Linked DNA regions of Lonchura striata. The protein of the gene in region 1 interacts with the protein of each later gene in a pairwise test. Links are inferred from orthologs where the notes say so. Each region holds a gene or a part of one and is shown on either strand. Other genes may lie near its edges.

Region 1 (3,742 bases):
CCCACCCCAGACAGAGCACCCAGCGCCCGGGGCCGTGTCACATCATGCCCTGGCACCCCGGCCCCCCACCCTCCCTCTGTGCTGCCGAGACAACCCCTGCACCGGGCAGCGGCGATGCTGTGGGCGCTGATAACGCGGCCCCGGGCGCCTGCCCTGCGGGAGATACCCGGCGCTTCTCGGGGCCGACGGGCACAGCGAGAGGCGCAGAGGGCTGCGGTTACTCATTAGCCAAAGTCTCACCGTGTCAAGGACAGTGAAGCGGCCCCAGGGCTGGCCCAAGGGCTCAGGGTGGGCGGGGAGAGCCGGCAGCGCGGGCACATCCCTGCCCAAGGGGATGGCAGGGAGCAGAGCAGTGTCACAACGGGGCCCTCCTGGTCCCGCCAGCACCTCTGACCCCTCCGCAGGGTTGGGCTCGTGGCTGCCCCATTCCCTCATGCCCTAAAGACTCGGACACCCCAGTCAAAGTGAGCCCAAGGAGCAGCATCGCAGCTCAGCAGCCGACTGTGCTGCTCTCTGAGCAGCCCTGGCACAACGAGCAGGTCCCCGGGGACACAAGATGAGCTGCAGCCTCCTTGCAAGGGTTTAGGGGTTGGGGAGCAGCCCTCATGCCGCGCCCTAGGAAGAGGAGACAAACCAGAGGCAGGAATGAACAGCAGCGGCTTCCCCCGCATCTCCGCTCTTCCATCGCAGCGCCCGTGACTCACAGATGACTCAACACGGAAACACCCCTGTCCCCCCGAGCACCTACTGCTCTCCAAAACCCTTCTCTCGGGCACAAGCTGCTCTCCGGGAACCCCCGCGAGTCCCAGCACTCTTTCAGGGCATTTGTCAGCGCCCGGGAACAAGCGCAGCAGCTCCCGGAGCGCGGCCGGTCGCAGGGAAAAATTCCACATCCGTTTTCCCCACGGCTGGCTCCACAGCGCAGCCAGCTCCCCTCCTGCCACGGCTGCGGGCCGCGCATTTTTTCCAGCCCTCGAAAGATCGTGGCCAAGATAGTTCTGGGTTTGCACAAGGTAGAAAAAAAGCCTTTAGACAGCTCAGCTCCTCCTCTCACCAGCATCCCGATCCCCGGGATCCGGGAGCGGGGATCTGGCGAGCAGCAAACCGCCTTATCGGAGAACGAAACTGCCGCAGCGCACGGGAAATAGAAAGCTAAATATAACCCCACACGGCTTTCGGATACGGCTCTAACAGGCAGCACAGTCCCTCCCTCCCAGGTAGAATATTTATGGCATCTGCTAAGGAAGTTAATTTTAGCCTCATTTGGTACAGGCTCAAAACGAGGAGTCCAGAATAAGAGGCAAGAGATCAAACGGAACAAGAGGGGGCTGTTCCCGCCGCTGCCCAGCCCGAACACGGCTGCGAGCCAAAGCTGATGACGGAAAGGGATCGGCTCGCTCCTTCCTTGGAGCAGCCTTCGGGAACTGAGCGCCGCAGGGACACGTCCCGACGCTGCACGGGCTGGCAGAGCCCAGGGGAAGCCCAGGGCCAGCCCCTGCTTGGCCAGCAGTGCCACCGGCCAGGGAGCCCCGTGTCCTCAGGGGACCTGGGCTGGTAACCGGTGACAGCCCTGAGGAGGGCAGAGGAACCCAGAGGCAGCAGGGAAGGGTCCACGAAGGCAGGGAGGGAAAGAAACGAGCCCGATGGGCAGCGGCTGGAGGAATTCGTGCCTCAATGGGAGCACATCACCCAGTGACAGCTGGTGGGAGGGGGACACGAGTGCTACCCGCACACTTCTTCCCCCAAAGCCAGGGACCCCACAGAGTGGGAGCAGCTTGGCACAGGGAGGGTTAAAGCAAACAAAACCTGGAGCAGGTTCTTTAACCGGTGCCAAAGACAGCAAAGGAAAATAGGACGAGCAGGCGAAATCCGTAGGCAGGACAGAGCCAGCTGGCTGGCACGGCTTCCCGGGCTGTGCCGGAGCGTGTTTAGGAATAGCTCCAGCATGACGAAGGCAGAGGGGCCGCCAGCCCGGCGCTCCCGGCCCGCATAGCACCGACCCTGCCGGGGGCCCAGGGCATGTCTGCTCAGCCCCTGCCCCAGGCGTGCCCAGCTCCGCTCCCAAATCCCCGCTCCAAGGGCATCCCGGCCAAAGATGGCGCTTGGAAGGAGAGCAGGAATGACGAGAGAGCTTCTCTCCTCTTTTGGTCCCTACCACAGACACTCCAGCCCCGGCCAGGCCACGGATTTTTCCTCTCTCTCCCTGGCTCCTCCAGGTCGCTCCTTCCTCCCTCCCGGCTCCCTGCCAAGCATGACGACAGCACCCGTCCCGCCGCAGTCCCCGCCATCCCCAGGGCACTCACCGGGCTTTCAGCTCCTTGTGCTCCTCCCGCACTTTACTGAGCTCCAGCTGCAGCCGAGCTCTCTCCTTGGCCACCGAATCCAAGGTCTTGCGGGCATCCGCCAGCTCCGACTCGTAGGCAGCCTTGATGCCCGAGACCTCGCGGCTCACCACCTCCTCGGACTCGGTGATGCGGAGCCGCAGCCCGGCGTTCTCCAGCTCCAGCGAGCGCACCTTGTCGATGTACACGGCCAAGCGGTCATTGAGCTCCTGCAGGTCCTCCTTCTCCTGCAGCCGGGTGATGCGTGTGGGGGACAAGGGGGTCCCCGAAGCCCCGCTGCGGGTGCTCCTCTTCTGCGAAGGCGTCGCCATGGGGTCCGGCGTCGAGGCGAGGGGCACGGCTCAGGTCACGGCGCGATGTCCCACGCCACCCGCCCAGCTGTCGCGGCAGCTCCCGGCGTCTGAGTGACTTGCTTATATCCCAGCTGGGCTGTTCACTGGGAGGAGGAGCTGAGAGGCGGCGGCGGGTGGAGTTATCCAAAAGCTGGGTGGAGACAAGTCGCATCAGTCCCAGCCCTTCCTTAGGAAAGGCTGGGAAAATATCTCTGGGTAGAGGGGCCTTGGGAGGGCGTCTCTGGGGACACAGTCCGGGGAAACCCCTTTGCAGGCTTTTCTGGGGCGATTCCCTCGACAAAGGCTGCATCGCAGACTGGGAGTGACAGGGAAAAGGAGGGGGCTGCAGGGAGGAGGAGCAGCCAGGCACCCCCAGGACCCTTGGGCGGAGCACTTCCAGGACATTGCTGTCCCATAGGACAGGGCAGGGCATGGGGGGTCCTGGCACACCCTGAATGCAGGAGCCACAGGCTGCACAGGACCCCGAGGTACCTGAAACTCTGGGATCCAAGGACCCAAATGCAGTCCTGAAACACCCTGGTCTGGGTTCCCCTGAATCCTGAGGCATCACACACAAAGAGCACTGAGGCACTAAAGAATGCCACCACCCACCTACCCACTTCCCTGCACTGCTTTTGCCCAGTTCTCTCAGCACTGGTATTCCCCATTTCCCAGCTCTCCTCAGTGCCAGCTGTGCCAGTTTGTAGCTCCCCAAATTCTGAGCACCAGTTGAGCTCACGTCCCAATTCCCTGACTGTTTCCTGTTCTCCTGCCTCCCAGCCCCCTCCAGTCCCACTCAACCACCCTTCCAGTATGGCCAGCTCCCAGCAGGGGGGATTCCCAGTCCTCCCAGCAGGTGCGGGGTGCTCTGTCTCCCTCAAAACGCTACCGAGACACAGACAGCTCATGATTTCCAGATCTGCCAAATGCTTCCAGGCACTCCCAGCGCTACCAGAGGGGGGATGTCCCCTCCTTGGACTTCATTCCCCCTCCCTGCATTGTGCTCTGGAGCCAAACCCTCCCGTGTGTGAGAAATGGGAATAAAATGACAATGGGAGTGGAAAAGCA
Region 2 (3,742 bases), on another chromosome or scaffold:
GGCGGGAGAGGAAGTATTATAAATGCTGTGGGGAGCCTTGAGTCATGGGCAGGACAGGGGAGACAGGCAGGCCACAGGATATAACTGATGCTGGACACAGCAAGGCAGGAGTGGGGAACAAATTTGATTTGGACTGCTCCCAGCTCAGGATGGCACAAGAGTAATGGAGGGACAGAGGAGACCTGTAGTCCTGGAGGAGAAGCAGCAGGGAACAGGCAATAGGCAGACTCTCAGTCAAGGCTCACAAAACTGGCCATCCTCAGTGGAGCCAGGAAGTTCCTGGCAGTGTGGCTTGAGCCGTACACTGGATCCCAAGGGAAGGGCTGCCCCACTGGAGCATGCCCAGCTCCTACCACAGAGCTCAGTGCAGTGTGGTGCTGGGCATCTCTTTGAATTCCAGCCCCCGGCTCGCTCACCCCTCGCTGATGGCTCAGCTGAGACAGCTCAGCTCCTCAAGTCCTGGGGGAACGGGCCAGGAGCACACACACAGCAAAGGAACACAGGTGTCCACATCCATAAAATATTTATGTAGTGATCAATTTGTGCGCGGTCTCCTCCCACTGGATAATGGGGTGAGGGGCGACGCCAGCGCTTTCTGCACAATTCACCTGAGGTCGGGGTAAGAGGGAATGACCGAAAGTGGGCTGAAATAAGGGACATGAAACAAGACCCGAGGCTGCTTCGTGAACAAGGAAGGAGGAGGCCAGTTGCAAGCCAAGCATGATATCTGAGAGGCTGCCCGCACACAGCCTCCTCTGCCCGCTGGCTCGCCATTGTCCGGCGGCAGCTCCCCGCGGGCGGGCTGCCGGCACGGCAGGGACAGGGCTGTCTGGGGGGCTCGAGAGAGAGGATAACGAGAGGGTTTGGGGTGCAGAGGAGAAGTTATGCCCTCTTTTAGGGGGGCAGCTCCGGGCAAGCACTAAAGTCTATGCCAAAAAAAAAGGAATAAAATATTAAAAAGGAGGTAGAAGCACACCGTGCTGCGGCTGGGCTAGTTACGGAAATCAGTAGCAGGCGGGGCTTCAGCTAGCGGTGCCGGAGAGGGACTTCCCTCCGGGGAATCCTGCTGGACCGGGCCGCGTCCCTTCGCCCCGGGGCACCCCGAAACCCTCCGGGGAGGCCGGGCCGCCCCTCGGCGGGGCAGGGACGGGGCCCGGCAGGGGAAAGGGAGGTTCTGCGGCGCTCCCTCTCCTGCTCGCTCCGCCCGGGACCGGCGGCGGGGACGGGCGGCAGCGGGGGCGGCTCCGGGCGGCCGCCGCCGCATCCCCGCCGCAGCGGAAGCCGCGCCCCCGCCGCCGGGGCCGGCCGGGCGCATCCCCCCGCCCGGCGCTCCCCGCCCCGTCCCGCCGCCGCCATGAACCCGCTCTTCGGCCCCAACCTCTTCCTCCTGCCGCAGGAGCAGCAGGGGCTGGCGGGCCCCGAGCTGCCGCCGCCGGCCGCCGCCGAGCCCCTGGGCGGGGAGCCGCCCGCCGGCCCCTTCCCCGCGCCGCCCGCCGCCATGGCCCTCCGCAACGACCTGGGCTCCAACATCAGCGTCCTCAAGACGCTGAACCTGCGGTTCCGCTGCTTCCTGGCCAAGGTCCACGAGCTGGAGCGGCGCAACCGGCAGCTGGAGAAGCAGCTGCAGCAGGCGCTGGAGGAGGGGGCGGGCGGCCGCGGCCGCGGGCCCCCGCGCCGGGACCAGGCGGTGCAGACCGGCTTCGTGGGTCCCATCCGCACGCTGGGGCTCGGGCTGGGGCCGGGGCTGGGGCTGGGCTCGGCCCGGGCGCTGGGGTCGCCCGGCTCCCGCCCCGGCGGTCCCGGCCAGCCGTCCGCCTTCTCCGCCGGCTCCCGCTTCATGCCCGGCACCATCTGGTCCTTCTCGCAAGCCCGGCGGCTCGGCCCGGGGCCCGAGACCACCCTGGTGCAGGGACCGGGCGTCTCCTGGGTCCACCCCGACGGGGTGGGAGTGCAGATCGACACCATCACCCCCGAGATCCGAGCCCTCTACAACGTGCTGGCCAAGGTGAAGAGGGAGCGCGACGAGTACAAGCGCAGGTGAGGAGGGGCGGCGGGAGCGAGGGGCACCGGCGGCATTCCCCGGGACCGAAACTATCGCCTGCAGGGCTCTGTCCGGTGCGCGATGTGAGGGGCAAGCAGGGAGGGAAGGCGACGGTCCTGGCCGGACTTCTCGGGAGCACAGGCAGCACGAGGAAAAATGTGGACTCCTGAAAGCATTTGTTTGTGCCTGGGTCTCCTCCCTTGCCGCCTGGTGTGCGAACCCCCTCGGGATGTTCGTTGAGCCTTGTTCCATCTTACCAACCTGGCATGAGGGACTAGAAATGCTTTTCCAGGCAGGGAAGGAATAACCCAGGAGCTGTGTTTTAAAACCAAGGGGATCTGGAAGCACTCAAGAAGGAGGAGCAGCCTGAAAGTAGCTGAGGAGGGTGGACATGCAGTAGTGAGTGGGTTTGGATAGGAGAAAGCTGCTGGGAAGGAAGGAGTTCTCTGAACGTGTCAGAAGGTGTCGAGAAGCCCCTCAGCAGGTTGGCTGGCCTCTCCTAGGCCCTTTCCCTCTGCAGTGCTCTCCAGCTGGCCCCTCAGCAGCAGAGAGCCGAGGCAGGACACCCCACTCCTTGGGGGCTTTCCTCCCGACCCAAAATAGCTGTGGCTTGGCACGTGCCTTGGAGAAGGGCGAAGCAGAATGCAAAGCTAATCTCTTGGCCGGTTCTTCTTTCCCGTGCAGGGTGGCCGCCGCTCTTGCCTCTTGCCAGCGGTGCTTTTGTGTCCGGCCAGTTTCCGAGGCTGCCCCCGGATCCGCACGTAGGATGAGATCAGGCTGGGCTGGCGTCGGAGGGTCAGAGCATGGGGCTGGGCAAGAGTGTCACTGGGGACTGACACCACCCCAGCCAGTGCTTTGGGGTTTTTTCAGAAGTCCCGTTATGACGCTTTGGACGCAGTTAGAAAGTTTGTGATTCCACTCCCAACTCCCCACAGGGGCTGTGCCACCCACCAGTTCTGCACGGCCACAATGCCAATATCAAGGCTGGGGTCCAAGGTGACACCTTGTGCTTTTGGCTTTATAAGGCTTAGGCTGGGCAAACTTGCCTGTCAGATGCTCTGGAGGCACTGAGCAAGGCACATGGAAAGGAAGAGTTGGCATTTCTTCTTTCCCACCAACTGCTGCATGTACCTAAGGCCTTTTATGATTAAGCCAGTGGTCAGGGTCCTTCTCCAGAGAGGAGCAGCACTCCTTGCATTGCATTTTCAGATCAGAGAGTGGGAAGCTGGATCCTGTTTCTTGGCCAGGAAAGCTTGACAATCAAAGTGGGTCAGCCAGAGAGGACCAAGTTAGTTTGTTGGTGCTGCTGAAACTTTGGGAGAATGGAGAGCTTTTCAGGGTTGTCCTGCTCTGGCAAGTGAGCTTCAGGGAAGGCTGCAGAGGGGTTGACAGAGGGACTGCTGAGGGTGAGATGGAGGGGCACCACAAGCTGCTATGAGCTGCTGTTATGGTGGGATCTATTTTTGGTGTGTGTTACCAGGAGCTGAGGGAAAGCAGACCCCACCCCCAGACCCTATCCAGCACTGGGAACTTTCTGACGGGTACAGCCAGGTCCCAAACAGGGGAATGGAACAGAAGGATTCAGTTTCCACACCCTTCTCCATGCTGGGGGCTGACACCAACATCCCTTGGGAGCTGAGAGTTCCCTTCCCAGTGGGCTGTGATCTGCCATGGGGACAGTGCAGCTGGTGTCATGCCTTT

Evidence for each region.
Region 2: the proteins of LMNA (region 1) and IFFO1 interact in binary tests that used the Homo sapiens proteins (3 or more experiments, as listed by UniProt). The link is inferred for Lonchura striata from reciprocal best matches to the Homo sapiens genes LMNA and IFFO1.

What each region holds. Positions count from the first base shown.
Region 1 is NC_134635.1:1,184,284-1,188,025, forward strand, and holds the start of LMNA (lamin), read right to left. Parts: upstream 2,786-3,742; 5' UTR 2,654-2,785; coding exon 2,304-2,653; intron 1-2,303.
Region 2 is NC_134604.1:29,441,017-29,444,758, reverse strand, and holds the start of IFFO1 (non-homologous end joining factor IFFO1), read left to right. Parts: upstream 1-1,354; coding exon 1,355-2,037; intron 2,038-3,742. UniProt on the Homo sapiens protein: Nuclear matrix protein involved in the immobilization of broken DNA ends and the suppression of chromosome translocation during DNA double-strand breaks (DSBs).